4 linked regions of the Drosophila melanogaster genome follow. The protein of the gene in region 4 interacts with the protein of the main gene of each other region in a pairwise test. Each region holds a gene or a part of one and is shown on either strand. Other genes may lie near its edges.

Region 1 (8,214 bases), on a different chromosome or scaffold from region 4:
ATGAGGATGCACCAGTTGGGGAAGGTGTGAACGCAGAAAAAATTCGCTTAATTTGTCTAAAGAAAAGCCAAGAGCATGAAAATTTCCATTAAGAAAAATGGTGGCAAGTGTGGCAAGTGACAGGGAAAGCTCGACTTTAGCCCCAAGATTGTTGCAGGAGTAGCAGCAGCATAGCTGGAAAAACTTATCACAGTTGCTCGCTGGAATAATGAGAGCAATCAACAGGAAACTCCGGCAAAGAGATCAAATCAAATCAGAAGGAAGTGCCAAAAGGAGATGGCCGTAATGAAAGCAATCAAAGAAGCCGTTAGCAACTTTCAGGCGATCATTACACTACAAGTTTTTAATGAGCACAGCAGAAATTAATACAAGCAGGAACAGTACAAAACAAAATTTAAGAAATATATTATGCAAATTATTTTACCTGTACTTCGAATGCCAGTTAGAAAATCGATGATCGTGGGGGAAATGCCAAGCGAATCGGACGACATTTGATGCGCCTTCACCGCGAGTCTATCGAAAACTCCATTTATTCCATCAGAAGTCCAAGACATTTAGTCTATAAATAGCAAATGGTAAGAAACGCGCCTCCGCGCCGAAATAAATGCAAATCATCCGTCTGGACTCAAAACTGGAAAATAAAACAAAGATCGCCGCGTTTTCGACCACTTCTCACACCAAATTCAGAGGGCCATGGCGGCAGCAACATCAAGTTGCCGCTGCAACAAAAAAAACACCGCGCTTAGTTGCAACAATGGTCGCGACAACACTAACAATGCCAGCGATGGCAGCAGCAACAGCAACAACTGCTGCAGCAGCAGCAACATCCAATGCTGGTGGCAATAAAATGCGGCAATTACATAGTTGGCTATTCTAATTCACTCATTTTTAGCTTGAAAAAGGTGCGCCTGACTGGGGCTATTGGAATTTATTTTGGTTCTACAGCAACTGCAACACTAAAAGCAGCAACAGCAGCAGCGGCAGCAGCAACAACGTGCAACAAGCATCAACAGGTGATTCGCCTGAATGTTGCACGAAATGGGCAAAACAAATTCGAGGAAAAAATCATCTTAAATGCTTCTGCCGAAGAATTTGAGTCTGTTCTTTTAAATGTTAATTTTTTTTTTATTTCGTCTTCCACTTGCCTGCAACAATTCAATAAAGTTTAAAATGTCAACAGCTGGGCGACAGAAACGAGAAAAAATAAGTGAAATAATGCACAAATGGCTATTGAAGCCCACGAAATGTTTGACTAAGTTTTGCTTCCGTTTCGCATTGCTTTGGAGCCGGAGCCCTCGAGTGTCCACTTGATGAATTAAAAGCGGGAAATTTGCAAAACTTTATTACTTTGGACGTTTTGAAAAATGATCGAAATGCCGAAGAAACCGAGACTGCAACGGTGGCAACAGCTGCCGGCCGAAAGGCAATGACAGCGAAACAAAAGTTGCCCAATTGATGTCAAGTTATTGTTGAACAAATCAAAAAGGGAATTTTCAGCGCGGCCTTATATAATATCGAATTCGCCCCATCACACTGCTCTAATTACATTTTAAGTCGAAATCCTTTCGTAATCGCAGCTACCAACGATTGCACTTGATTTCGAGAGCGTCTCAAAAGAAATTTCAATTTGCCCCCAGAGTTTGCGATATGGGTAACAATCCCAACAATCCGAACAATCGGACCAGTTGGTAGTTTTCAGTTGCCAGTTGGCCCCGATTGTCGGCGGGTATTATGTTGTTAAGACATCGTTTTGACAGTACGTTCGCCTCCGCGTGAAGAAGACCGTTTGAGATACACACACACCACATACACACACGCGCGCACATGTGTATCCGCAGCTCAAGTGTCACGGAAATCTAAAGTTAAAAGTAACCAAAAGTTGTTCAATTACTTTTCACAGCGGTCCATTGAAGATTGCCAGCAGGTGTAAGCGGCGCTGATAGAGGTAACATCTTAGGTACACGAAATGTTACCTTGGAAAATGGGTACCAAACTAATAAAATCTAATAAAATTGCTTATAAAAATAAGATATTGAGATATTAGAGTATCTTTAAGATTGCAGCTATTGAAAACTAATACCATATCTAATATTACAAATATATAATATTATATTAATAATAGTTTTAGTCATAGCCCAGTGTAATTGGTAATAACATTTCGATTTTGGTACAAGATTTTCGCATCACTGATTATAAGATGGGTTGATTGTAAGTGTAGCTATTTTCGATTGATTGCTCCCCATAATAATTTCAATATCTAATTTTAATATCGCACGCACGCACACATCGCCACCTCGCAAGTGGTCAATAAAAATGTGAAGAAACTCTGAAATCAGTCATCGGATTGCTTTTAATTGTTATTTAATCTCGGCTCGTACAGAGGCGCTGTGATACATTCAAGGTTAATTGGTTATGGGATGGGATTTGAGGCCTGACGGAAGAAAAGGAGCCATGCGGTTGATGTTGGTTGGAAGGAGGAAGTTGGCCCAAAGGCACTCGACACGTCTGCCAGCCTTGTGCAATGGCCAATGGATGAGTTTCGGGGCCTCGGCTACGGATCTTTGGCATGAGCCTCACGTCATAGATTGCATTTTGGCAGAGGTGCTGCGGGAAATTGGGACGCCACATGAACACGTTTGTGCAGCTTGTGCAATTTTCCCCGGGCAACCGCATCACGTACTTCTCACCAAACTTATTCTATGTTCTGATGCTTTCCCAAAGGCCAAATGGCAAAAAAAAAAAAAAGAAGAAAAAACAAACAAAAATAAATATATAGATATTTCGAAAAAGGGCGACTGTATCTTTGGAGGCTAAAACGAAACCTATCATCTGACATTCCCAGTGACATTTTCGTATCGTCTCGATGGCAACTGCATCGCCCGAGGGCCCAGACTTCATAAAAGCTTGGCTTAAATATCAAATTTGGCCGAGTATTTAATGAAGTCATTCGGGGCGTTGCAGGCTCTCCACTCGAACTCATCTTGTTATACATCCGCCCGAGCTTCATCATCATCGTGCCAGCCATTCATTTATCATCTCGTTACCCATCATCGTAATGATCGTGCCACGGCGATGATCTGCAACATTTTTCACCACCTCAACACCAAGACTTGGCCAAAACGGTGAGAGCAACGCTGCGCTCTCTTTGGGCCATTCTGAGAGACTCGTGGATGTGGATGCTCTTGGCTCCAGCTCCACGGAGGCAGATGATCTAGAAGTTAGGCGCTAGACTTGCCTCAATTGTTCAAACCGCTTTTTCGTTACTTTTAGGTGCAGTTGGCAACGCGAACGCCGCTGCTACCGCCGCTGCCGCAGTCGCCGTCGCCGCCGACGTCGCTGCCAGCGTCTTTGAGCGTTTATTATAAAAAGCAAGCGCATCTCCATTGTCTAACCTAATTCAAAACGTTCGTGTACTTCGTGCGGTTGTCTAGGAAATCAATCTAGCCGAACCTAAAAAGATAAAACCACCTCCTCTTTAACTGAGGCCCCCTCCTAGTTGAGAAATCCAACCGGTGATAAAAAAATAAAACCCTCCCCCGCCCGGTGAAAGTAAGAGTTAATACAACTATTGTGGCAAGCGAAGGACTACAAATTAAATAGTGTGCAATAATCATAAAAATAACACAAAAGACACTCGATTAACTCGAAACAATATAAATGAAATAATTGACAACTCTAATGAATTTAATTTAATTCAATTCAATTTCAACTTCAGCCAGCGGCGTTTGTGGATACACTACTTTTTGCCATCGTCTGTGAACGTAAAATCGAAACTCAACTAACAAAATGATGTCCTTCAAGTCGTTCGTCCTGCTTGTGAGTATTTATACATACGTACATAAAACAAGGACATGTATTTCTGGGCCTGGAAAAAAAAAACATAGCTAAGCCTACATAAATCAGTTGGCCAAACAAATCATATGAGATTTCGCAGGCGTGTCCTTTGGCTAAAGCGAAACTATATATGTATGTATGTTTGCATGTATGTGTATGTGTGTGGAAAGGCCAGCAAGCTAAGCTTGTTATATGTCAAATTTGTTTATCGCTGGCAGGGAAAAATGACCCGTGGTCACTCAGTGTCCTTTTTCGTCTACAATGTCATTTTTCTGCTGCGGCTTTTGGGGAAAGTTTAAATGAGATTTGCTAGGAGAACTGAAGGCAACTACCCATCAAACTGGTTGTTTCAAGTGCCTGGCAAACTGTTTGCCTTCCTTTTTTTTCGTTTTTTTTTGGTAACACTTGCCGTCAATGGCAACGAAAATGATTGCATAACTTGCCACACGTCTGCCACAGAGCCTCTCATCATCATCATCATAATCAAAACCCAAGTCCACACACACACACACACGAAAGTCAAGTGGCGAAGGGGCCAAAGTAACCCCGCCGAATCGAACAAATTGCAAATAATCAAAGACACTTAAGTGCTCCACTCCGCTCTGGTTAATATATATATATATATATACATATGTACTTGTACGTACTCCTCCATGGATACGCATTCAATATTTGGCAACATCTGCGTTTGCCAAGTGCCACGTAAAATACGCCCCAAATCTAAGCAATACTCCCTGATTGTTCCTAACTAAACACTTGAGTTTCGGAGAAGGCTAAAAGGTTGTAAGGCGGAGGACACATGTTGGTAATATATTTCCCCTTTCGTATTTAGGCATCATCTGAGGAAAATTGCAAACCTTTTTGCTCCCCTTGAACAATTGCAAATATATAAGGCTCCAACTTGACTTTATTTTGTAGGCAAACTTTTCTTAGCTGGTGCTAAATTGACACAAGTTTTTTTTCATCAAATTGTTGAAAAATATACTTTATACTTTACTAATATAGTTTCGTAAAAATATTTATATAATTTGTTTCAAATTGCTGTAAATTGACACAGAAAGAGTTGTGCAACTAAGAAATTTCTAGGTGATCCAAAATCCTTTCTGTTACCTATTAATTTACACATTTCGCTTTGGAAATTCTCCATATTCTCACAATTTTATTGTGAAATTACAGTATTGAATACTTTTCCTGGAAGTCCAGAAGTTAACCCGCAATCAAGAGCACACTTGTAAACTGCGAAATACTTTCACTTGTTCGCCATTGTTAAAGCATTTTGAATCGCGTTTTGGGACGACGCCCTTAAGCAGGCAACAAAATAAAACAGACGCGAGTTTCGCTGGCTGCTCCTTGATGTCCTTTTATTTTTTGTAACTGGGGCGTGTTAAATTGTTGGTGCGACACTTGGATGCAATGCAGGTCCAGACGGCAGACCACACTGTCTGGAATCCATCCAATGTACCTCCGCCCATTCCGCGTTACGTGAGCACACAGGAGAAAAATTAGATTTCTTCAAAAACCAAAAGTGTCTAAAAAGATTGAGATATAAAATTATATTAATAGGTACTCAATGAAAGCCATTCAAATGTATGAAGATTTTCAAAGAAGACATAATCAATATCTAATTAAAATTTAATTGGTCATACATCATGTAATTACTCGAATGAATTTTTACGATTAACGTAATCGTGATTAATGGACGAGCATAACTAGTAGTTAAAATAAACGCAATATATATGCAATGTTTGAGGCCAAAGTGTTAGATCTTAAATGTTCTTCTATTAGCCATGTTTTTTTTCAGCGGTTTTTCTCGCAGTGCACTCCTCCATCTCTGATGCGTCTGGTCTGCCAAGCAGATAACTTCCAAAAGGTACACCAGACGATAGCAAAGGAATAGAGTTTGAGAGCAGAGTGTAGAACTCCAGCCAGACGCGTGTAATTTGCCGCTTGTAACTTTTTGACTTTTCACCAGCGATTCTCCATTTCCCCAATGCCGCTATATTCCCCTTATTTTCTTCTCCTTTTTTTTTACCATTCTTGTTTTGGCCCGAACTGGGCGAATAACAGCAGGCACGGAAGCGTACCAAGCCAAAAATAAAAACCAGGAGCCCAACCACCCACTGCCACATCCGCCCACCAAAAGGCAGACACTCGATAGACAAATGGCCGCTGGCCAGTCGAGTGCACGGGCTTTTGAGAACATCGGGGCGAGCATGTTTTACATGTTAATTTCAGCCCGGGGGAGACTCAACTGGCCAACTACCCAGCTAGCCAACTATAGGGTACAGAGTACGAATACGTCGAGCACCCACACCAGCTAGTAATGCCCAACTGCTGCTGCATATTAATGCCCATGATTCCAGCTGCTCATTTTCGCACGCGAAAATTGCAGAACTGGTGGCAAAGAATTCGAGAAACGATTGGTAGCATTGACTGGCATTCATTCGGGCACGCTTTTGAATTTCAAATGACAAACCTAAAATATTCACAGTTTGATATTTGAGTCCGTCCGATGATGGTGCTGCTGCTGCTGCTGCTGCTGATGATGATGATGAGCTGGCAAAAGCCGAAAGTCGAAGCTGCTAATTCTGCATTCTGCATTCTGCATTCCGCACTCTGCATTCTACAAATGCTGAATTGTTGCATTCGCCGGCCGCAGCGAATGGGCAATTGTGAATGCCGGCATGGGTCAATGCAATGCTGCCTCCGATTCTGATTAGAGCCGCCTGATTATGGCCAATATATCGCATGTCTGGCCAAAAGTCTTTCATTGGCTCATCGCTGCACTGCTGGCGATTCGAGTGTAAGCGATTGCCCAATGAATGTTGGATGTGTGGAGGGTATTTCAAAGGGATATTTGCATTTCGTTGGGCTCCTGCTAAAATTCTACAAATTATCAAATTATCAATAGAAGTTGCACATCCGTGAATCCAAATATTTCAAACAACAAGCCCATTATTATTTTTATAAACTTCCAATTTATAGCAGCGTATTCCCCCATTCGTCATTTCGCACAGGCTCTACCCTTGCATTACAAATTCAATTTTAATTGAAATAATTTGGCAGATTTGCCAGATTTCGCTTGATGCCGATTGGCATTGCCTCAAAGCTGATCCGTGCTTAGGTAATTGAGCCCGGGGGTCGTCGAATGGGCGCTCAGACCCATTCTTCTGCCTTGGAAGTATGCAATTTTGCGGCTTCACCGATATTTGCTGTAGCTTTGTGCGGTTTTATTGTCTTTGGCAATGGCTCGAATGCGGGGGGGAAAAAAAATCCAAGCGAAGAAAACCCAAATGGCAAAAAATTAATGACGCTTGAGCAAGCGGCAAGTGCAGCAGCATATATGTAGTATGAGTTGGATGAGGGGCTTCTGCGGGGAAATGGTAACCAGCCAAGCATCTGCGCCTTTGTGTGTGTGTGTGTGTGTTTGTGTGGTAATCTAATTAAATCGAAATTTCAGCTGATTACAAAAGCCCAGCCTCCGCCTCTGAATTCGCTAATTGCCCAACCAAAACCAGAGCGTCCAACGTGGCGTATGCGCAATGTGAATAAGAGGCATTTCTCCTCCGTTTCCCTTAGGCAAGGAATTTTTAATTGCACTATTCTGGCTGCAAGTGTTATTTCGTCGGCGCTTTTGTGGGTCCACAACAGCTGGCAATTGGAAAATTAGTTCACTGGGGTTTTTAACCGAAATTCTAGCATTTAAATGGCAGAGAAATAGTTCTGGAAAAAGTTGTACTTGGTTTTTAGTGTGCAACAATTTCGGTAGTTGTGGTTTCTGCACAACAATTTTGGCTTAAAAAAAGCTCATAATTTTCATTCGATTTGGATTTTTTGTTATACATCAAATGGTTATACCAAAACTATAAGCATAGAAACTAAAAACTAATTAAATCCATAATTCAACCATAATACCACATTTACCTAATAATCGGTTTTTATGAGACAAAAAAGCTCCCACATAGTTTTTATAACATTTTAAGTAATTGCACATGAACAGCTTGCAAATGCATAGTTGGTCATAAACAACTACTTGAAGTATTCGATCGTAGCATATAATTTATAAGTTTTTTCTCACCCGTTTTTTGGGTATTTGAAAGGTTAATATCTTTATGGACAGCCGGCGGCTTTTGTGCATTGAAGTGTGTTATTTAATTCGGGTTAAATAGGGTTAATGTAGTGTAGAAGAGGAACATACTAGCTGAAGATCTGCCGATAAACAGGCGAAAAGAAATTGACTTATCACAGGTGAATCCCCAAGGAGGCCCAAGTCGTGAGACAAGCTGGCCAACCTTTGATCTTTGGCATTGTCCTTGTATCCAGCGGGCACGTGACTCTGTGACAAACAGCTGGAAACATTGGGTGCAAATTGCACAAGGA
Region 2 (9,469 bases), on a different chromosome or scaffold from region 4:
TGTCGTCGCTGCAGTACATCGGTCGATGACCGTAGGTGATGATCCACGGACGTTTGGCCCGATTCTCGGGCAGATTGGCCTCGGCCAGGTCACGTTCCAGCCACTCGAATTGCTTGGTCAGCAACTTGAAGCCATAGCTGAGGAAGTAGTAGACCTCCGTGGAGAAGGAGACAAAGTGCACGGGTCCCAAGTTGAAGCTGTACCACAAGCTGTCCGTTTCGCCGGGCATATTGAAGCGGGCGCGATAGTTGGAGAAGTTGCTGTGATGGGCCAAAGTAAGTTAGGTTTGAATAGTTAACACACCGGCATCATCAAATACTTACTACTTCTCCTCGTGATTGCCCGGACAAACCATGTAGGGCACATAGGCAGCCACCGACTCGATCTGGCGCATGAATGCATCACCCACGGCAGCGTTGGAGGTGTCCATGTCGTAGGCAAAGTCACCCACATGGATGATGGCATCGTACATGCCTCGCTCAGTGTCCTGCTGTAGTCGGCCCATCGACTGGGCATTCTCGTTGCCCATGTCACCGAAAATGGCCAACGAGGGCGACCACTTCTCACCCGCCGGTGGCGTCTTGAAATTGAACACCGCCGACCAACCGAGCGGACTGCCGCAGCTGTACTCGTACCGCGTGTCCGGCTCCAGATCCTTCAGTTCCACATTGTGTATGTACTGAGTGCGAGCCTTCTTTCCACCATCGACGAATCGCTGCCAGGTGCCGTTCACCATTATCGGCTCGTCTTTTAGATAGTTCCGCGAGAATTTAACCACCGAGGCGTTGGGGGAACTTCGAGTCGACCATGTCACCACAATATCACGAAGATTGTCTACAACAAAGTTCATTAGCTGGGATTATTCTCACTTTTAAAGACCCAATTTATATTTAAAACCATCTCGTTTTAAAAACAGTTTCCCCTCGAATTTCGTACTTAAGACTATAGAATCAGTAGGCCACAATCATTGCCACTCATACATAGTTGTTTTATTTGAGCGTATAACTGTAATTACATTTCATTAAAATATATATGTTTAGAAGGAGGATAGTTTCTTGGTCCGATTGCTGCGAATATAAATCATTCGAATTTGTGCCCGAATTTAAAATACTTTAGTATATGACGACATAAAATATCACAAAGTTTTTGAGTTGAGATCAGACTGGTACGGTCCATGCTTGTCCTTGACCACCCAGAAACTATCGATGACCTCGCCCTTCTTGTCATCGGACACCTGCTCGAAATGTAGATGGGTGCCGTTGTGGGCCTTCAGTCGAAGATACCCAAAGTCCTGGCTGTGGAAGGCACTCCACGGAGGCATGCGCTTGAAGAATGGCTCCCTGCCCTCGTGATTGCCGGCAGCTCCCGAAATGATGTGTATTGGTGCACCGGGATTCACATACGGCTCGGCCAGCGATCCATTGAACACGGTGTAGTTGTACATGGGCCACATCCGCTCGTAGCAGTGCTCGTGTGCCCACAATTCAATATCTACGCCGTACTGATAAAAGAGTGGCTCCAGCCCGAAGAAATCCAGCATGGGCAGACCCTTTCGAACGATTGTCTCATGATTGGCACAGTCATCTCCGTTGTCATTGCTGCAGTACATGGGCCGATGGCCGTATGTGATAATCCAGGGACGCTTCTTCCGGTTTTCTGGCTTGTTGGCCTCGATCAAATCCCGCTCCAGCCAGTCGTACTGCATCACGATCTGCTTGATCCCGAACTTAGTGAAATAATAGACTTCTGTGCTAAAACCGATGAAGTGCACCGGTCCAAGATCGAAGCTATAGAACATGTTATCCGATCCACCCGGCATGCTGAACCGATTGATGTAGTGCGAAAAGTTGCTATGGGTTGAAAGGGAAAAGTCCTTATATCAGTCATCATCATTATCATCATCGCAATTGGCTTGTGGTGTAGCACTTACTACTTCTCCTCGTGGTTGCCCACGCACACCATATATGGTAAGTAGGCGGCTATGGTCTCCACCTGGCGCATAAACTCGTCGCCGACCTCTCCGTTTTCCCAGTCCATGTCGTAGGCGAAGTCTCCCACATGGATGATGGCGTCGTACTGGCCGCTCTGCGTTTCACGCTGCAGCGCTGGAAGGGATGCCGCATTCACCACGCCCATATCGCCGTAGATCGCCAACGAGGGCGACCAGTCGGCGTGATCGAATCGCGTCCGAAACCAATAGGTGGCGGACCAGCCCAACTCACTGCCACAGTGGTAGAGATAGGTGCTATTCGGTTTCAGGTGGGACAGCGTCACCTGCATTCGGATGGGTTCATGGATTAGATGCCTTCGTTTGCGACTCTTGCTGCGTCGTTACTCACACGATGTATATACTGGGTGGCCTTTTTGGCTCCACCATCCACGAATTTCGTGGGCATTTGCGTCGCCTTCACTCGCTGATGCAGTCCATCGATGCCGAACTCACAGATTGATTCGTTGGTGTTGTCGCGCGTGTTCCAGGTGACGACAATGTCGAGCACGGTTTCTGCACAAGCACACTGATTAACTAGGAGCTTAACACTGAGCATGTCACATATTTACAACACTTGTCTACAAGATGAAGTCAACTATTAATGGATTCACTCACAAACCATTTGATTGATCGTTGAATTCTCAATTGAGTTGTTCCCAGTTTTATGATATTGAATTGTTTTATCCCAAAACAATAAGCACAATGAAAAGTTCAAGACATTTATTGTAAAGATACTAGGCATTTAAACAACAATCAGTGTACAATCGGATTGCCGTGACTATAATAAACCCGGTAATCGGATTTCATGTACTTATTGATAATAAAAACCGATCGGGTGCATATCCATTAGTCCTTTAACATTGATCCTAATAAGTATATCAAGTACATCCCATACACATTAAAAACAATTTGCTTAAGACAGCAGTTACCGAGTACCAGTTTTTGAACATCAAGTAACATGCGACAGAGATAAGAAACTAAGTTCATTTACGTTCTTATCAGCTTATGTTAAATGCACACTTAAAAGCGCTTGCATATGTGTAAATGCTGCGTTTGTTAAATTGGCTAAGTATAAAACTGTAGTTTGTTTCGGGCTGGGTTGAGATATTTGGATAAGGAATGTGCCACGCTTATTGCTATAGTTTGTGATCGAATCAGGTCGAGGCGAATGTGCGCTACTAATACTGCCTGTTGCTATTGATGCGTGTAATGCCTCGAGAGACTCCTTTAGCTTGAATTGATTCGGCTCAGGTTATGGTTCAGATTGGGAATGACTATTTAGTTTCGGTAGCTTCCATGCTTGGATTTCACCAACCAAAAGTCATCGATGATGGCGCCGTTCTTGTCGTCGGACACCTGCTCGAAATGGATATGTGTTCGATTGTGAGCCTTGAGCCGTGTGTAACCATAGTCCTGGCTGTGAAAAGCGCTCCATTCGGGTATTTTGCCCTTGAATGGTTCTCTTCCCTCCTTGCAGCCGGCGGATCCTGTGACGATGTGCACAGGGGCACTAGGATCATTGTACGGCGAATCCTTCAGCGTTCCATTGCGCACCTTGTAATCGTAAATGGGCCAGAGTCTCTCGTAGGAGTGCTCGTGCGCCCAAATGGCCACGTCCACGCCGAACTCGTAAAGCAGCGGCTCCAATCCGAACATGTGTACAAATGGCCAGCCCACCCGCGTGAGAGTCTCTGAGTGGGTGCAGTCATTGTCGTTCTCGTTGCTGCAGTACATGGGTCGATGACCGTACAAGATGATCCACGGACGCTTGTTCCGATTCTCTGGCAGATTGGCCTTGGCCAGATCCTCACGCAACCATTCGAACTGGAATACCAGCGGCTTTAAACCATAGTTGAGAAAGTAGTAGACCTCCGTGCTAATGCCCACGAAGTGCACGGGTCCCAGATCGAAGCTGTAGAACATGTTCTCCGTACCTCCCGGCATACTGAAGCGGGCACGATAGTTCGAGAAGTTGCTGCAACACCAACAATTAGATCCTGCTTCTACCAAAAAACACTCTACTCTCTGCTCTACTAGCTACTCACAACTTCTCCTCGTGATTGCCGGGAACCACCATGTATGGCAGGTAGGCAGCCACCGTTTCGATCTGCCGCATAAACTCATCCCCCACGCGAGCATTCTTCGTGTTCATGTCGTAGGCGAAGTCACCCACATGGATGATGGCATCGTACATGCCGCGCTGCGTCTCCTGCTGCAATCGGGCCAGGGATTGGGCATTCTCATTGCCCATATCCCCGTAGATAGCCAGCGATGGCGACCAGTCAACGGATGCCGAGGGCACTGTGCGAAACTGGAAGATGGCCGACCAGCCAAAATCGCTACCGCAATGGTAAGAGTATGTGGCATTTGGCTCCAGGTCCCTAAGCGTCACCTAAGCAAAGTAAACAATAAGTTTTTCTCTCTCTTTCTGGTACATCAACTGCGATGTCAAGGTGGATCGATTGATTGTTAAGAGATGGAGTGCAAGCAGTCCTGGCTCATTGGTTCTTAATTTGGTTCTAAGAGCCGGATTCAAGGTTGCATTCCTCTTACATTCTCACATCAATCTACTTGAATCGTTTGATCGGTTGCATACTCTATGCATACCCTGTGGATGAACTGCGTGGCCTGCTTGTGACCGCCGTCCACGAATTTAGTAGCCTTTCCCCGGGCCTGTTGGGTGAGCCTGACCTGTCCGTCTACCAGTTGACCGTACTCCACCACGCTGACCGCACCCACTTCCTGATCCGGCGGCAGGCTGCGCGTGGACCAAGTGACGACTATCTCGCTATCGGTGCGTTCTGCTTCAGAGGACAAGCGGATATCGAGAAACGGGGAAGAGTAAAAGAAAAACAAACTTGAGCAATTTCGTTGGTCCAATGTTGGTACGTTTCAAATGAAAGGAAAACAAACAATTAGCCCCCATCCGGCATCTAATATCATTTAGATTTGGCATTAATACTGATTACTAAACATGAAAATGTATAGATTTATAGTATAATATAAACAATGAACTCGAATTCCAGATTTGCCACGATAATGATTCGCATAATTAAAGTTGATTGAAACAAGTGCTACTTGGTTACTTTAATGAATAACTTCAATCCCATTAGCATCGCTTGTGCCAAATTGAATTTGAATCTGTAACGGGTGCAGGGTCGTCCAGTCATTCATGACCAAATGTTATTGTCCAATAAAACCCTGATATTTTTGCTTTGCAGCGACGCTCCATTGTTTGCTTCATCCTTATCGCCAACCCAACAGAAACTAGAAACTAGAACACAAAGCCAAATGGCCGGTGGGATGACGATCGACCGTATCGGCAAATATGAGGCCCCACAGGGAGCCAAAGTCTATCAATCTTTGGGTTGCATTTCAGGGTTTTGAAGTTTGCAATGCCCGCGTTGTCGTAGACAACAGTGGAACCCCAATATGGCGGAATAATGCTATTTTTTTTGGGGGGGAATCACCTGATTACAAAAAAGACTGGCCGAGCGGCTGACGTTTTTAATCTTGTTCAGTTTTTCGCCAATCGCACTACACAGCGATTAATTTTAGCATTGTGCACGAACACATTCACAGTGGCATACTTAAATTGTTTGTTAATGTTTTTGTGTTTGACCTGCCACCTCATCAGGCCTTAAATAAGCTTGAATTTATTGCTGCTTCCAAAAATTCGGAATTAGATGTTATCAGTTTTGGAGTTTTATGGGACTTTCGATTATTAATATAAAGCTATATTTATACAATATTTGGGGAAACCTTAGGTATTACCTTGTTGTAATTTGTAGGCTGTAACTAACGATCGTATAGATATTAACTACAATTAAATATAACTATGCATTGCGCCCGTTATTGTGGGTGCATTTGCATTTGTTCATCCCATTTATAGGGGCGACGACACTGATAATCATTTTATGTAGCAAATGATTCTGGGCGGGATTGGAAAGCAAGTATTGATATCACTCGATAAGTGCCTCTGGAATTGCGTACTATACGATCAATGTTTTTCAAAACCATATGTGATAATACACATAAAGGAAAATGTAAGTACAATGTAAGGTAATGTAAATAAAATAAACTTTCCTACGTGATAGATTTGTAATATTAGAAACTTATATGCCAAGCTATCATTTTTCTCCCAGTGTATTCTAACACTAATGCAACGCTGCAGGTGAGCAATTTACATAATGCGAAAAGTAAAGAAGATCGCACTCACCTCCAAAGGACAGATGCACTTGCTCCGGCTGATAGTGAACAATGTCGACGTCCTGGTCGATGGGAGTGCTCCTAATCCCCGGAAGAAGCAGCACCAGCAGGAGCAGCGACGCTAGCAGAGCGAATTGCAGTCTCTGCATTTTTACCGTTTTGTATTTACTTGTGTTTGTTGTTGCACAGTAACGCAGTCAGCAAAAACATTGCCAAATCACAATTGCGTCGTTGTCAAAGTGGGGACACTTGGCTCGGGGAGTCGTTGGAGTTAAACGGGGGAATCGACAAATTCGCTTGCGGGAACAACAAAAAATGAGCACTAATATGGAAATATCCAGCAATTTATAAGCGCAGCCACAACAAAAACAATCCGGGTGCAGTGTGACCTTGGCCGCCGAACAGCAAATGCCAGTGGTAACGATTGCACGCTGGCGACAACTATCGATAGAAAGCGATAAGTGAGCGCGCGATTTGAACTTGATACGTAAATAAATTACGTGAAAATGACAAATTTATCTAAAGCTGTTTGAATAAAAATGAAATAGCGTTTCAAATTCAAAACAGCTCAATTGGTTATTCTATTGTTAATACATTTCGACCAATTACTCAATTTCAATTAAATCAATCAATTAGAAATGTACGCATTATTGCAGAATATCTTTATTATATAACAGCATATGAAATGTTTTGGGGAATGAAGTCCCTCTAAGAGCTAAATGAAACTACACACAATTCGAGATCCTTTGTCGGTCCCAATTGAATGCTTGAAAACATGCGGATCGTTTTGTTCATATAAGCGCCTTCTTAGCAATAAACATAGAAGAATATATATATAGATATATAGATTAGGGTATATGGGTATAAATACAGGATAACAATAGAGAGAGAGAGATAGAGAGATAGTTTTAACAATACATACAACTAGGATAACTGGATATACGTATGTAAATAGGTTTAAGGATAACATTAGCATAACAACTAAGGACTTTTGGCAGCCTTATCGACTTTGTGGCATACATGCTGTGAAATTGGCAAAGCAATTCCGCTGGACGTGGAAATACATATGTATACGATACAGGTAATACATCTTTCGGACAAGGAAACCTAACTACTTCTCGGCGGGGGCACCACTCGATCCCGTGGCCGCTGCACTGGGCATGCTGCTCTTGCGCTGTGCTTGCGAGATCTGCACGATCCTCGAGAGCGGCGAGTGGGTGCTGCTGGTGCTGGGTCTCGTTCCGGCGGGCAAGGGCAGCAGCCGTTGAGCGGACGTTCCGCCAGACTCGTCGATGGCCCCCGCTGGCAAGGCGCTTCCACTTCCTCCGGGCGGCGACGTGGGCGACAGTTCGCGGGCCAGTGGCGAGGGTCGCAGCGAGAGGCGTCGCTGGAGCGCCGTCTGTGAGGACTGCTCCATCAAACTGGCACCTGGTGGCGGCGCCTGTCCCGGTGGAATTTGCAGAGCAGTCGGTCGCACGCTAAAGCGACGACGGAATTTGCTCTGAACAGTTGGCGCATTCGATGGACCGGCTGTTATTTGGCTTTGATTTGCGGCTCTCTCAGTGTAACTGGGTGGCGGTTCCAGCAGGGATCTGGCTGCCGGTGCGGTGGCTGCTCCACCAGTGGGCGATATGCCAACAATAGTGGAGCGACGCGCGTACAGCCGATTGGCAGCCGCCGCCTGCAGTGTCCTCGTTTGATCGCCAGCGAAGAGCGACAGGATCGGCGGCAGCTGCGGTGGCTCCAGTCCAGCATTGCCCATCTTGCGCTGTTTGCGGCTACCCCTCGATATTCCGCCTCCACCGGCAGCTCCTCCAGCCGCTGCCGCCTGTTGCTGTTCATCAAGCACGGCATGGGTGTGCACTACCTCGAGCGCACGAATCAGATCCGCAATGGTCGTCTGCTCCAGCACATTCATATCCTTTTCGGAGGTAACCGAGAATATGCTGCTACGGCGCGGAGCAGAGGTCAGCGATGATGCCGATGCTGTAGCTGGGAAGAGGCTGCCACGACGCGCGGCCACTGCCGCCATGGCCGCCGATCCAGAGCCACTGGTTGCCAAGCTGCCGCGTCGCATCTGCATCTGGGCCAAGGCGTGCGCGGTCGGCGGATACATGCTGCCCCGGCGAGCGGATGGGGCTTGATTCTGGGTGTAGATGCTCTCGCGTCGGCGCTTGCCAGCAGCCGCCTTGCGTTGATAGGCTCCACCGCCCAATGCCGATGGCGGGGTTGCTCCATCCTCCATCTGGAAGCCCATGTTCGTTAGCCCGCCGCCGCCGCTGGCCAAGCTGCCATTCGATTCGAAGGGCGGTGGCGGACCGCGTCCGTTGCGCAAATAGGATTGACTGGAGGCCGCCGTGACCGTGTTGCTGTAGTAGTCCAGCGGGGATCTGGCTTGCTGCGAGATGACACCCTCGGGTACCGAGACCACGGACAACTTGCGCTCCAGATCCTGCGAGGGGCGCTTCTTCTGGAAGGGAAACAGACGTCGCAGACCATCCGGCATGGAGAACTTCTTGACGCGACCGGCACCCGGTGATTGTTTCTTCAGCTGCTCCTCCAAAGCATCCGGCTCCAGATGGACCATGGTCGAGTTGGCTGCTCCGTTGGCACGCTGCTGTCCCTTGTAGCGCTGGTTGAATGCCTCCTGGATCTGCTGGTTGTCGCCGCTCCATGTCCATTCGTTGTGGCTCGAACGCAGTGGCCTCTCGCTCTGCCAGCGAGGTGCCTCCAGATTGAAATCGGAGCAGGCACGTGCTCTTGGACGTCGCGGTGATGTGAACTCGTTGACCGTCGAGAACGACCATTCGCTGGCCAGGATCTGGGAGTCGGAGAAGCCATGATAGCCACCATAGAGAGCCGCATCTTCCTGTTCCGCCGGCGGTGGCTTCACCGTGGCCAGTGCGTTGACCACCTTGGCCAGCAAATCGGTGGTCTGGCGGTACGCCTCCGCCGTCTCGAATGTCTTCTCGCGATCCAGTTTGCTTAGCTCCGTATCGGAATTGGCGTGTACCATGCCCGCCTCCCTTTGGGCGGCAACCATGTCGGCGCACACGGAGAATGCCCTCTTCCGGCTGGGAATGGGAGCCGGCTCCACGCGGTACATGCTCAGATCCGGACACGAATTGGAACGTGGCAGTGTGTAGGCGATATCTACATCGGTGTACACAGGCTGATAGTATTAATACGATATAACAAATTCGGTTTCATATATGTATAGTCAATGTAATGTAAGAGTTTCGATTTCCAGTCCATGTGTGTTAAAGTTTG
Region 3 (6,342 bases), on a different chromosome or scaffold from region 4:
TATCGTTGCTCCCAAGCCGGCTTTACTGGGTCGTCGAGGGGTGCGGTGGCTGTTCAGGGGGCGGGGGTGGAGCGGTCGGATCCACCCGCCCATTCAGTGGAGCCAGCGATAAGCCCGCAATTGAGATAACTCTGCCTCAATTTGCGAGACACTATAGTGTGTTTATCTGTCCAATTGTACTTCCTATGTGTAAGCATGTGTGCGTGTGTTTGTGTGTGCGACTGTGTGCTGCAAGCTCTTCACTGATAAATTCTGCCTCTCCACTTTTTTCTCGCTTTTTAGCAACGAGCTGATGACAATGTAAGTGAAATTATTATGCAAAATAATGGTCTTAGCTTCCGCCGTCGTACAAGCTCTATATGGCCACCAAATTGCCTGTGCCCGCCGTATGTGTACATATGTAGCTACATTTGTATGTTCATATATCACTTACGCGCCTTCGCGCGACGGCGTTCTTATATCATAAATTGATATGTTAACTGCAAACTGTATTACAATGGCCCTATTATCTGGAAATTCACTGACCCTGCCCTGAATCTCGCCCAGCTATTCTTATCGATATGCTTATTTGGAAGACCTCGCCAACTCTACTCGAACTGTTTTTCAGATTGGCTAAGGTTTAATGGATGACACATCAGCACCATGGGAAAGTTACTATCAAAAATTTTCGGCAACAAGGAAATGCGAATTCTCATGCTCGGACTGGACGCGGCTGGAAAAACAAGTAAGCACATAAACAATAAAGGGTTCTCGAATTCGATTGTGGGCCTGATTAGTACCCATTAGTTTCATCAGTTTCCTAAGTGGAAACCAATCCCATTTAAAAAATACTCTTGAGGCGAGGCAATTATTGTTTTGTTTTTATTCTTATTGTACTTTGAAAAAATGTACAATATAAAGACCTTTCAATACGTACACCAGTACTATCACTAATCGAATTCGAGCTATTTTGTTTATACATCCTTTGCGTGTCTAAAGTAATATTGTTTTTGTCCACCCACAGCGATTCTGTACAAACTGAAACTTGGCCAATCTGTTACAACGATACCCACTGTGGGCTTTAATGTGGAAACCGTCACCTATAAGAATGTCAAGTTCAATGTGTGGGACGTCGGTGGGCAGGATAAGATTCGACCGCTATGGCGACACTATTACACGGGTACACAGGGTCTGATCTTCGTCGTGGATTGTGCGGATCGGGATCGGATAGACGAGGCGCGCACGGAGCTGCATAGGATAATTAACGATAGGGAGATGCGCGACGCCATCATACTGATATTTGCTAACAAGCAGGATCTGCCTGATGGTTAGTATAGTGCTCAGCCAATTGTTTCCATCCGCTTATTGTTCTCTCTTGCAGCAATGAAACCCCATGAAATCCAGGAAAAACTAGGTTTAACTAGAATAAGAGATCGCAATTGGTATGTACAACCATCATGTGCCACATCCGGCGATGGCCTGTCCGAGGGCCTCATTTGGTTAACGTCGAACCATAAGTTATGAGAATCGTAATCGAGCATTTTCTTATATGTATGTATATGGCATGTATTATTCGAAGCGAAGCAAAAGCGAAAATATTCTATTTTATTTATACAAAGAAAACCAACCGCAAGCGCATAGTAAAAACTCAATTCGTAAAAACGAACGTACATAAATTACAAATGTTAAAAATGGTATATAGAAGTCAGATATATATAGTAATTATATATACTCTCAATTAACCAACCAATATTCTCACTAGTAAAAATACACATACCTACAAAATAAAAGAAGCATCAAAATAAGCAGCCGGTAAATATCCGTAAAGTAAATTATGCGTGAAGCACAGAGACATAAAGCAAAACATCAACGGAGATTAGCCTTAAGTAAGTTTTTCTTGTAAATTATATTGATGAGACACGTAAGCAATAAGTTGAAAGCTTGTTTATTGCAACTGTTACTATATTTGACTTGAGCAAGGGTGTAACGAGTCTTAAATAAATTGTAAATAAATATTCAAATTAAAGCCCATATACAACAACAAACGAAATAAAAGAAAACACCGAACAAACAATTGAACAAACCTATAGATTGCTATTTAGATTAAAACTGAGTCTTCAAAATATAATGAAATAGTAACTGTGCCTTCCTCAATGTGTGTCTATGATCCCTCATTATTTTCCCCACTCCAACAGCTAATTTTCTCAATCTGATATCCTTCGAGACGAAGAAGGTCCCTGGATTTGCGAGAAAGGCATATTCTGACTTCAGTGTCAAACGCATTTGGTTTGTATTGTGCGCTCAATTTGAAAGGTAAACATGCCACATTCAGTGCCATAATTTGCAGGGTAAATGAGCCTGGGTATACCTGAGCATGATTTGTTCAACACGGCGTTCAATAATTTACCTTTGTTTTGCAATCATCCCCGAATTGTCCGAAAAACTCCTTGGTACATCCTTGCATGAATAATATAATTTATTTTTTGTGGGTGTATGTCTTGTTTTATACCTTTACCGTTTTTATCAAAACCAACCTATTCATAATACCCCGTAATATCTCAGTATCTAAGATTTTTGTTGCTGAATTATAATTATAAATTTTAAGTTATGAAACAAATCATAGGTTTCAAAGTTATTTTCTGTAAATATGTTTTTGTATTATTATTGTATTATAATAATAAAAATATATAATAATTAGTAGAGTCACGTTTTACAGATGAAAAGGTTGTGATGAAGATGACGAGTTCCCAAATAAACGTCATCTAGCGATCCACGAAGTGACGAAGCGCTTATTGCCAAGATAATCTTGTTAATATTCTCACATGAAGTGACACATCCTATGAAATTTGTATGTAGAATTAAACGATTCCGACTTAATAAAGTGTATATATTGTTAATATATATATTATTAGTCAGGATCAATAGCCGAGTCAATCTTTTCTGTGTGCAGAATCCCAGAGTGTAGTATTTCCTTGGTTTTGCGTCTCCTCAAGATGCGTGTTTGTTCTTTCCTTCGTTTGCGAGTTATCTCCAGGATCCGTGGTCTCCTTAATATTTGGTTCACGAAAACAGCAGGTATATGTTGGAAAAAACTATTTATTTTTTGTTTACGATTTTAAGACGATTAAGAAATTGGGGTATTAGAAGCGCCCATGATGTCCTCCATGGTGTCTGTGGTGTTCGCCAAAGCCGCCTTGTCCGCCACCGAAACCACCTTGACCGCCAAATCCTCCCGGTCCGCCACCGAAACCACCTTGACCGCCATATCCTCCCGGTCCGCCACCGAAACCACCTTGACCGCCATATTCTCCGGGTCCGCCACCGAAACCACCTTGTCCACCAAATCCAGGACCTCCACCGAATCCTCCCTGTCCACCAAAGCCGCCTTGTTGACCACCAAATCCTCCTTGACCACCAGGTCCAAATTGAGGTCTGGCCAAAACTGCGGCCACCAGGGCAAGAACAACAATCTATAAAATAGACGAACGTAAGATCCTTCTACTTTCTTTCACATAACCCAGCTAGCTTACCAGTAGTTTCATTTTGCTTTAAATTATTAAACTGAAATCCGCTCTGAAAGTGGCCTCTTTATATACCCGATCTGTAAGCGTGGACTTAACTATGTCTCGACTTTCAGATACCTATTAAGCGTAGTACACTTACGATTTGACAAACGTATGTAAGCAAATGTAAACTTACAATGTAATAATTGTTTCGATTATTTGTATTTAATTTATATAGCAGAGGCTGGAGATTTTTAAAGACTTTTTATTTTCAAAATTTATAAACAAATGTGCCAACCTTAAGCTATTTATTTATACTCTCACCAAAATACGATTACCCTGTAAAAAATTCAACATGTTGATAACAGAAACAGGAGGTCATTGTTTAGATGAAAACAAAACAGTCGAATTGTTAATCACAGACAGCGGAACCACCAATTAGGCAGAAAGTATTGTTTTTTTGCGTTATTATTTGATTTTCATTTTGGGCACGTGTGCGAACTTTTTATGTAAAAGAACCTATTTAAAAAATAATATAATAATATGATGTCTGGAAAAAAATTAAATTTAATAGACAGATTAACGGTTTAAAACCAGACTATGAGAAAATTCATATATAAATTTTAATTGTATTATTTACTTTAATATGTCTATGTCTATTTGGATAGTACAGATTATTGATTGGAGTGCCCTGTGAAAAAAATATACAAAAAATCTGTCAAAAAAGTCTTTGTTTTGTTAATATGTAACAAACAAAATGTTAATCTTACAAAGAGGAAATATACTCAATATACAAATATAGACAAAAGTTATATATTTCGATTTGGGAAAAAAGTAGTATAATTTAAGAATTGCTGTTGCTAAAAAAAAGACCGATTTTGAATTTCTAAAATGCATTTCTCGAATAACTTGCAGAGGTTTATAAAATAGATGTGTCATTTCTAAAAACACAATCTTAAGAACTTGACAAATTGAATAAACTATTTAATGTTGCTTTAATCGACTGGTACTGAGATTAGTTCGGGAAATCGAAGATTGATAATTATTGCGGAAGTTCAATAGAAAGTTGTAATGGTGCTTGTATTTTTGGCATATTGATGTCTATGTGTTTTAATTCCTAGTTTAATGTGAGCAATAACTATACCTTAAGAATTAAGTCAACTTTTTCGCAAGATTTAATTTTTTTTTTTTTTTAATTTACTTTGTTATACTTAAAGTTGCCGTTTTAGTAACGTCCATGATGTCCATGATGCTTGTGATGCTCGTGGTTACAGTTCTCGTGACCAATTCCGCCGGAGAATTCTCCCTGTACAAGTTGGGGGCCTGCTCCGAGCTCTCCTGCGGCATATAACTGGCCCGATTGGGGAGCTGGTCTTCGGTAGCCTCCCTGTCCGCCGCCGTATCCCAACTTTCCACTCTGAGGAGTGGCATTGCCATATCCTCCCAAACGTCCTTGGCCCGAGAGTCCAAGTGCGAATTCATTTGGGGGCACGGATGCGCCATATCCTTTCTGTGCACTGCCGTATCCACCCTGAGTGCCGCCGTATCCCACCTGTTCAGTCAATGGAGCGGGTTGGCCATATCCACCCTGAACGCCACCGTATCCTCCTTGCCCGCCACCGTATCCTCCCTGCCCGCCACCGTATCCTCCTTGCCCGCCACCGTATCCTCCCTGCCCGCCACCGTATCCTCCTTGCCCGCTCTGGGAAGCTGATCCGCCGTATCCGCTTGGCGAGCTGCCGTATCCACTTTGTCCGCTCTGTGGAACGGATCTCAAACCCCACTGGGCGGTTGCTGCTCCGTCGTATCCCGGTCTGGCCAAGGTAATGCCCATCAGGGCGAACAGGACAACCTAAAGGGTAAATAAATTGAGGATTATGTAAACTTCACTGACCATTAGCTTAATCACCATTAATTTCATCTTGATATTTTTTTTCGAACTGTAGTCAATGCCAAAGAGTGTCTTCTTTTATACCCAAGCTAGTGGGCATTGCGTTTCGACATTTAGTTACCTGTTATGGACTGTCATTGATTTTAATTCAGTTTATATTGTCATAGTAGATATCGATTGGGGGGTATCTTGCTTTTGAAAGGAAAGGCTTTTTTGATATATTTAAGCAATAACTTTTCCGGATCTCAACATTCCCCTATTCCAGAATCTAAATTGTAGGTACATCCGCTTAAGAAGCACACATTCCTAATCAACTTCGACTACCCTGTGGAAAATCCCAAATTTTGATGGCGCTGAGGTCAATGATTAGTAGAAAAATAAAACAAAATTTTGGACACGGCAGGGAATGCTGCGATTAAGCAAGTGTATTGGCCTTAAAAATAAGTGGTATAATCAACTTGTAAAAAGGGCAAGGGCAATAAAAAATGTATAAATTTCATTGTCGCTAAAAATGTTACTTTATTAATGGCCTCGATTCAACGCTTTAAATTTGTGATAAATTTTTGAATACATTTCAATATATTTTGCTTAGAACCATTTATAGATAAGCTAGAAATAAATTATTTGTGAATTTGTAATCTCAAACAGTTTGTATATATGTGTTTGGTTTGATAGAACAAAATAGAACAAAAACTTGAGATTACATTTTGGCCGATAAGCAGCACATGTTTACTTTCGTGTACACTTTTTATTATTTATTTTATTATATTTATTTCATTTTATGAAACTAACTATGTTACTAAGAATGTTAGATAAACGTTTACGTTTTAAAGATACAATAGTAACTAACAAATACAATTCCTTGTAATCCCGCTTTACCGGAACGTAAATCAAAGATACAAAGTGTCTGAATGTTGAATAAAAGAGGCAGTCCATGAATTTTGATTGATTAAATAAAGTGCACTGCAC
Region 4 (8,153 bases):
AGAAATACGTATACTTTAGATAAGACCTACAACTATTTATAAGTTACGGAAGCCTATAATTAGCGAAACTTAGTCGTAAGCTTAATTTCACGTGCACTTTTTTCCGAAAGAGAACCATGAAGAAGGCTAACATTCGATTGTACTTAAAGTTATGGTTCAAGTTTTGTATATATGTATGTATAAACTTATATCCAGATCGATCTTAGATAATTAGCTATGCGCCTATATATCAATGTATCTTTGTATGTATGTATATCGCAATTTATACATTCATGCAAAATACTAAAGCTAAGAGCGCTTTATCACCTTAGTTCTTTTGTTAAAGTCTTTTTTAATTTACAACCCTAATTTTGAAACGATATGACATTCTGTATGTATGTATATCATAGGACTTACTGTATATAGTGTGCATAAATACATATAATTGTTTGTAATAGCAGCAAAAACATTGAATCAATTACCGTTAACTAGCGGTCCTGCCGTCTGAGGAACGACGGTCTACAAAGTGACGCCCCAATAAGTTAATTTACCACCCATGATCTTTTTAATGCACTTGAAACCTTCCATTGGATGCAAGAGTAGAAAACGTGGTAAGAGGGGTGTGTGGGCGGACAGGAAAACAATTAACGTACCGAAACTAAAATTGGCACATTTCCGTTATGGGTCGCCAGACTTAAGACTCTGTACGCGGGAAAGGGACGTCGATAGTAACGCTCGGACGGTAAACAGTAATAAAATAACGGTGCTCAGTGGGTGGTGAAGTCGGCTGATGCGACGAGAGGGGGCTTGTAAGTGTGAGTGAGTGAGGGTGGCTGGGGTCTTAGCAATAATTAAGTAAAAAATTGTAGTTGGGGGAACTCTCTCCTCTTCGGTGTCGAGTTAAGCTTGTTTATTATGTTTGATTAGTCAGGATTTCGTATTTTGGGTAGGTCGCAGGATGTTAAGCTCTTCCACAAACTCCAAAACATCGATTTGTTCGAAGCAGTGCAAGATTCTGAACTGAGTTTCAAAACCTTCTCTGTCAATCAAGCCCGCGTGTCAGTGTGTTTGTTTAAACACAACATTTCGGAAAAAGTTCTAATGCAAGTTCTAATAAAACTTTTCACTTCCTCGGGAATCCTTTCTATTGTACAATTATTCTTTTTTATTTTTTATTCAATTTGCAATCGATGTACCTGTGTTTAACTGAAGTGGTTAAATGTTACCGGTAGATAATTGAGACAGTAGAGTACTGTTACCAAGAAAAAACAAGTTTATTTTTGGTGAATTTCGCATATAAATACATTTATGTATATACATACAGATATGTTTTATACTTAAGTGAAAAGCCTAGAAGGAATAGCTGAAAATCTGCAATTAAGCGAAGATATCGAAATTAATTCTGAGCGGGGTCTATATAGCAATATTCTTAAGCGAAGTGCTTTTTAATCGTACAGATTGGAGAACATTAAAAATTCTGTTACGATTGTGCTAAATATACGCAAAGTAGGACGAAATATATTCGTAAATAAAACTCGCAATATAGATGTGTAGCTCCATAGGTGTGCAATGTAAATGAACAGGAAGAGACTCATATAATATATTTAATGTTATATAGAAATACCCCAAAGGATCAAATATTAATTCAAAAATTAGAAACGTTTTCCCAGTGCTGTAAATTATATGAGAAGCCTATTTTGAAGAGCATTTGCTTAGTACAAGTGAAGAAAAGTATATGAATATTTAAATAAGTAATGATAAAAATAACAAATTCATAATTATATGGAATCTGTAATATGTATACATAATATAATAATATAATATGTATACATTCTCACGTTTAAAGCAAAGATTATTTAATAAAGTAAAGAATAAACCGGAACTCCAACACTTTTGAAAAATTCTGTGATAATTCTTCATATTTTTATTAGTCTTGTAAATTACTATGGATTTGCCAAAAAACTTTTTGCCTCGCCTACTTCAACGTCCAAAGACCGCCCAAAACTGCCACACCTACACTTTTAAAATATTTTTAGAATTTTCCGTTTTATTATTTGTCTTGCCAAGTTTTATCGGTATACAAAACAATGTGGCCACGACCCTTCTTTCACCTACAAAACGAACAAAACTGTCACGCCAATAATTTTTAAATTTTTTCTCATTTTATTCACCAAAATCAATCGATATCCTGGAAAAATTATAAAATTTGGCGATCGAATTTCCACTAGCCGAGTAAAGGGTATCTGATGAGCGGGAAATCGAGTATAACATTTTCTCTTGTTTACATATATCCTTTTACACTTTTACCACTTTTCATCCCCAAGCATCAAATTTTTCAAAGTCCTGGTATGAATACAGAAAAAATCCTATGATATACTCTTTTAATGGGCAAAATGTATTTATAATATCATTAGGTTTTTAATTTAAAACCATTCAACAATGGTTCACTTCTATTTTACCCATTACTCGTAGAGTAAATGGGTATACAATATTGGTTGAAAAGTATGTAACAGGCAGAAGGAAGCGTTTCCGACTATATAATTTATATATATTCTTGATCAAGATCAAAAGCCGAGTTGATCTAGCCATGTCCGTGTTGCCACGCCCACAAGAATCACAAAATTTCCAAGCCCACGTGTAACGTGTAACGTGTAATATAACATAAACCGATTCCACCTTATTCTTGCCAAGAAGGTTGGTTTAAGGGCTAAATCAAAAGCAAAAGGAGAGCTAAAACACGGTGGAAATTTTTTAAAGCGTTGTTGAGTAGAGAACGTGCTAAGTTATATATATTTCATAAACCACCGCGAAAGCGAAGAGGATTTATCTAATGGGAGGAAGGTATATATATCATGTAAATGTTCCTGATTCTCTTTTCTTGATCGGAATCTCCAGACGACTCTATATGCCTATGTCCGACTGCATTCGTTTTCTTGGCATTTCATTTGATGTCATCAGGGACTTATGTATATGCAAAAATTGAATACAATCCTGTTTTAATTTTCACTACAAACATAGTTTTATGACAGTAATCGAATCTCCTTTTAGCTAAACTTAACATTGCTTCTTTTATAATCAATCTGGGTTATACAATTTTTATCTACGATTCGAATCCAGTCTACTTTAGTAAAAAATTATGGCAACTCCCGACTTCTGTATACTGCAGTATGGCAGCTCCCGAACTGTGTAGATGTTGGTATGGCAACTCAAAATCACCTGCAATTGCTACTGAACATTCATATTAAACATAATTACGAAAAGACCAACATTAAAATAGCGTTTGTATTCGGCAATACAAGATTTATTGCTGAGAGGGGAAAAAGCGGTTCTAGCATCAACACGTAATAAAAAGAAAATTAACCAAAATTGATTTTCTTGAAATAATGTTTCCAGCACCGGGATAAGATAACAAATAGTGGAGTCATTCAGCAATCGTTGATTGGCGTGAGGTATCGATGACCATGCGCTATCGATACCTCCGTTGGAATTATCACATCGTAGCTCTACTGTTTGTCAAGTCTCACTTGAAAACATCCATCGAAAGTGCTGTTGTTCTGATTAGAGCGCGGGTGCGAGTTAATCAAGCGAACCGTTGCGTCCTGGTCCTAAATTTGAAAGGTATAAATATTTGGGTGAAACCAATCAGCTGCAATAGATGATGCGGTCCCTTGCGCCATACAAATTGGTATTAGTATTGCCCTAGAGGAGTAATTGTGTGTATGTATGTTGGTGGGAGAGTGGAAAGTGGTTTAAGTGAGGGATGCGACCGAACAATATGCACTTCTCCCTGTGCTACCTGAGATCTAGAGTGTGGAGAGTGATTCTGTTGACTAGTTTGCGTGCTTGCGGCAAGCAGGAGCTGCGGTCCGGTGTGATACATGCCTCGCGAAGTTGCTCCAAGTCGTAGTGGATGGTGCTCCAGGTGCTGGGATGCGCCTAATTGGAGATACACAAACGGTCAGTCAAAAGCTCGTGAAGTGTGGGTAATGCCTATATATATCCGCCACCCGCCTACAAGCGGGTTCCGGAAGTAGGCGACGGCACGCAACCATCAACCAGAAGCATCATTATGCACACATGCAGCTGGACATGGGGAAATCCTCTCAATAAAGCCGCTAGGCGGACATTGATTCATATGTTAATACACGTGTATGAATATGACAATTGGTGAGAGCGGGAACCACCAGTTACGCACAGTGGCCAGATCGCACTAGCGCACTATTCGTCAAGGAGTCAGGATTTGGTTGTCGTCTCAAATAAATAGCTAACTTTGTTAGAGATAAATGGTTAGGTTTAATCAAACTAATCGTTTAATTTCAAGGTAACATAAACTCATATTTTGCTTAAACTAAAAACGGTTTAATATAAATAAGTCTGACAGGACCGTAAAACTGCTCTCCAAATTCGGTCGTCTGGTACCTGGGCGCAAATCAATTAAGGAACTATTAACTCAGCAATGGGAACACTACCAAACACTGTACAATGTAGTAGCAATATTAAATATAATAATATAATAATAAACATGGATGCTTGCTTCTGCAAGCTAAAGTATTTAAAAAGTATTAGAAATGGTCGGTAATCGTAGAGTAAGAATTCACTTAAAAGGATGTTACAGGTAGAAGAACGCTTTTTCCACCTTATAAAGTATTTCTGTATGTATTAACACTTAACACATACGTATATCCAAACTGGTTTATTACGCAGTACTAAGAAATATACGGCTGACGTGTGTATTTTACCCTACATTGTCATCCGTGTGGCAGGTGTAGCCACTTTTTACGCAGCTGACACTATTTCTAAGCTATCGATTTTGTCTTCTATTCCTTTCCCATTGCTTTGAATGCCGATACTTGGCCTATTGCTGGTGGTGGGGTGGCACTAATAATTTAAAAACCGACCTATTTCAGTGCAGAGTTCAAACTCATTCAAACTACACAACTATTACAGCAAGCGCAATATACATACATATGTATGTATGTACATATGTATTCCTGTCCTTCCTAGTTTTCGTTCTCCATGTCCGTCCGTATGAAGGTGGAGATCTGAGGAACTATAAAACCTACAATATTGAGATTAAGCATATAGATTTCAGAGGCATAGTTTGTTTACTCATGTTGCTACGCCCACAAACCCTGCCAAAGCTGCCACGCCCACACCATTGGAAAATGTGTTGATATTTATATATCCGTTACTCGTAGAGTCAAAGGTTATGATCAGGATCAATAGCCGAGTCTATATGTCCCTGTCTGTCTGCTCGAATGTCTATGCGTCCATATGAACGCCGAGATCTCAAAAACTATAAAAGCTAGAAGGTTGAGATTAAGCATAAAGATTCTAGAGACATAGGCGCAGTGCAAGTTTATTTCAAATCACCCAAAACCGGTACGCCCACTGTTTGTTTTGATATATTTTCCTATTTTTATACCCGTTACTCAGATTAAAAGGTGATACTAGATTCGTTGAAAAGTGTTTCCGACCAAATCAAGTATATATATCCTTGATCAGGATCCATAGCCGAGTCAATCTGGACATGAAAGTCGAGACCTCAGGAACTATAAAAGCTAAAAGGCATACAGATTCTAGAAACATAGACGGAGCGCAAGTTTGACCCATGTTGCCACACTCACTCTAACGCCACGCCTACACTTTTGAAAAATGTGTTGATATTTGTTCACATATGTATTAGTCTTGTAAATTTTATCGATTTTGCCAAAAACGTTTTTGCCACGCCCACTCAAACCGCACAACCGGTCACGCCCACACTTTTGAACAATTTTTAAATTTTTTTTCATTTTATTTCCCAATATCTCTTGATATCCCAAAATAAATGATACTTTCGCGTTCTCATTCACACTAGCTGAGTAACGGGTATCTGATAGTCGGGGAACTCGACTATTCTCGCATTCTCTCTTGTTAGTTTTGTAAATTTCTGTCGATTTGATAAAAAACTTTTTGCAATGCCCACTCTAACGCACAAAACCCGCCGAATCCTGTCGCGAACCCACTTTTGGAAAATATTTCGATCTTTTTTCATATTTTTAATAGTCTTTTCTTTCCAAATTCTATCGATATGCCAACAAGGATGTTAAATGCTTAAGCTGAGTAACGGGTATCTGATATTCGAGGAACTCGTTCATTCTTGCTTTTTAAATTCATTTAACAGTTTTTTAATGCAAAATTTGTTTAAATTAATGTATTTTGTATATACTCGTAATAGTTGACATTGTAAAGGTTCGGTAAAGTTGTACATTGAAATAACTCCGGAAAAAAGTTTTTAAAACTTCTTCAATACAGGAAATCCATATCGTTAGCCGGGAATAGCTTACACATACAGAATAACATACAGGAATAATGAAAAGACCGGTGTGTTTGAATCTTGTTCTATGATTATCACTTTAACAGAGTACGGATAAAAATGAATACTAAACGTATACGAGCTTAAATAGCGTTAGGCAGTTGGTTTATTTTTCTTCGCGTCTTATAGCATGTAGTATGTGCATATATCGAGGGTACACTGTACCTATAAGTACACAGCAACACTTAGTTGCATTGCATAAATAAATGTCTCAAGTGAGCGTGATATAAGATCACCCATTTATGCTTTAAGCTAAGTCAGCATCCCCACGCTGGCCGCTGGCCATATATGCGCATAAGCTCTCTCTCTCTCTCTCTTATACATATATATATACGCTGCTCTTCTGCCGCTGTCGACGGCGGCGCAGTCGCAGTATTTAGGTAAGATTAGACACTCTGTAGAGGTTAAGCGGGCAGAACCGTTTCTGCTACTCGAAGAGATAAGAAGAAATAAAAAGGTGGCCTGACGGCTGCACCCAACTGCAAGGAAAACACGTGTTCTCAATTGGTGGCATATATTGGTTTATTACATGGCGACCGTGAGGCAGGAGCCTGCGATCTGAGGACTACTGAGGAAATGCTGCTAATATTGCCGATTTGATTTGGGAATTCTAAACAGCGACAACAGGTGTGAGAGGCAGGCCGCCCCTTACACCAGTGCGGGAGACCTAGAGACGGGACACTGATGAAAAAAAAAAAGAAACAAAAATACTGAGTGAGTAGAGTGTGGTAATGGGCAAACGCGGATGTCAGGAAATCAAAAATAAAGGTATAGCACATATTAAGTGGCTATGATATACAAATAAAACACCGCCCCCATGGGCAACGGCACAGAAATTAACTGCCGAATTAGACTTTCTGAAAGAAAACCTCCAGCAAAGAAAGCCGAATACCACAACTCACTCAGCAAAAATAGAAATAATCAATGAAGAAATAACTGAAAATTCAACATCACCCAAGCCGAAAAGACCCGACGTCTGCATGAACGACTGCCCTCGACCATTGTAAGCCGCAACAGCAATTAGCACGGCATCCTGCGAGGGTAGGATTAGGATAAAGGATAAAGGATTCCACCGGCGCGCCGCACATGACAACAGCGAATGTCTACCAAGCAGACGTTCGAACACCCTGCTCCTGTCGAGCAAAGGGATCTGCCAAGTATCAAAGAGGTAATAGAGGTAGATCCGTCCGCGGGACCAAAGCCCTTGACCATACAAGAGTACAAGGCACGGACTGCAGCGAGGGAGCAGCCACCTAAAAAGAAGAGGGGTGGCCGCCGGATTAAGTTGCTCAGCGCCCGGAGGCTCAACATCGAACTACTGAAGACGGCAACTAATGAGGAAGACCGGCAGCGCTACAAAGAGCGCCTTGCAGCCATCAATCAACAACTTCGTGGTGCGAAGTAAAGCGGCGGGCTGCGTTATACGCCATAGCCTCAACCGCCCAAATATTATATTAATGTTGTCGATGCGGTTTCCGCTGCAACAAAATTACTAACTTATCAGGGACCCATTTCATAACTAACACATTATACTCAGTCCTAAACTTAAAATAAGTAATAATATTGTAAAATTGCAAATTGCAACCGATGTAAACTGAGTATAATGAATTCATCTATCAAGTAAAAATATGTTTAACAACAGTTTAGACCTATTAAAATTTCGAGCTATATTTATATCTGATCGAGATAACAATAATTGACCAATTCTCAAAGTTAAAATTCTATTTGTACTTTTGATATACAAATAAAGACTAATTTTCCCCATATCAAAATGGGACATAAGTCGTGGATACAACCCCACAGTTAAATTCAATGTACT

What was found.
Region 1: the proteins of Tsp39D (region 4) and Cpr50Cb interact in a two-hybrid assay, tested with the Drosophila melanogaster proteins (one large-scale study listed by BioGRID).
Region 2: the proteins of Tsp39D (region 4) and CG1637 interact in a two-hybrid assay, tested with the Drosophila melanogaster proteins (one large-scale study listed by BioGRID).
Region 3: the proteins of Tsp39D (region 4) and CG8157 interact in a two-hybrid assay, tested with the Drosophila melanogaster proteins (one large-scale study listed by BioGRID).

The regions. Positions count from the first base shown.
Region 1 is NT_033778.4:13,791,390-13,799,603, forward strand, and holds the start of Cpr50Cb (cuticular protein 50Cb), read left to right. Parts: upstream 1-3,387; 5' UTR 3,388-3,549; intron 3,550-3,715; 5' UTR 3,716-3,786; coding exon 3,787-3,816; intron 3,817-8,214.
Region 2 is NC_004354.4:10,871,206-10,880,674, forward strand, and holds CG1637 (uncharacterized protein), read right to left. Parts: upstream 6,594-9,469; 5' UTR 6,349-6,593; coding exon 6,210-6,348; intron 4,795-6,209; coding exon 4,598-4,794; intron 4,383-4,597; coding exon 4,036-4,382; intron 3,966-4,035; coding exon 3,269-3,965; 3' UTR 2,695-3,268; downstream 1-2,694. Other genes in the region: Ork1 (open rectifier K[+] channel 1), read right to left, coding at 7,311-9,352.
Region 3 is NT_033778.4:15,322,842-15,329,183, forward strand, and holds CG8157 (uncharacterized protein), read right to left. Parts: upstream 3,546-6,342; 5' UTR 3,522-3,545; coding exon 3,510-3,521; intron 3,450-3,509; coding exon 3,120-3,449; 3' UTR 2,662-3,119; downstream 1-2,661. Other genes in the region: Arf6 (ADP ribosylation factor 6), read left to right, coding at 643-724, 1,004-1,306, 1,361-1,503; CG8160 (uncharacterized protein), read right to left, coding at 4,708-5,334, 5,392-5,403.
Region 4 is NT_033779.5:21,341,140-21,349,292, forward strand, and holds the start of Tsp39D (tetraspanin 39D), read left to right. Parts: upstream 1-3,467; 5' UTR 3,468-3,597; intron 3,598-8,153.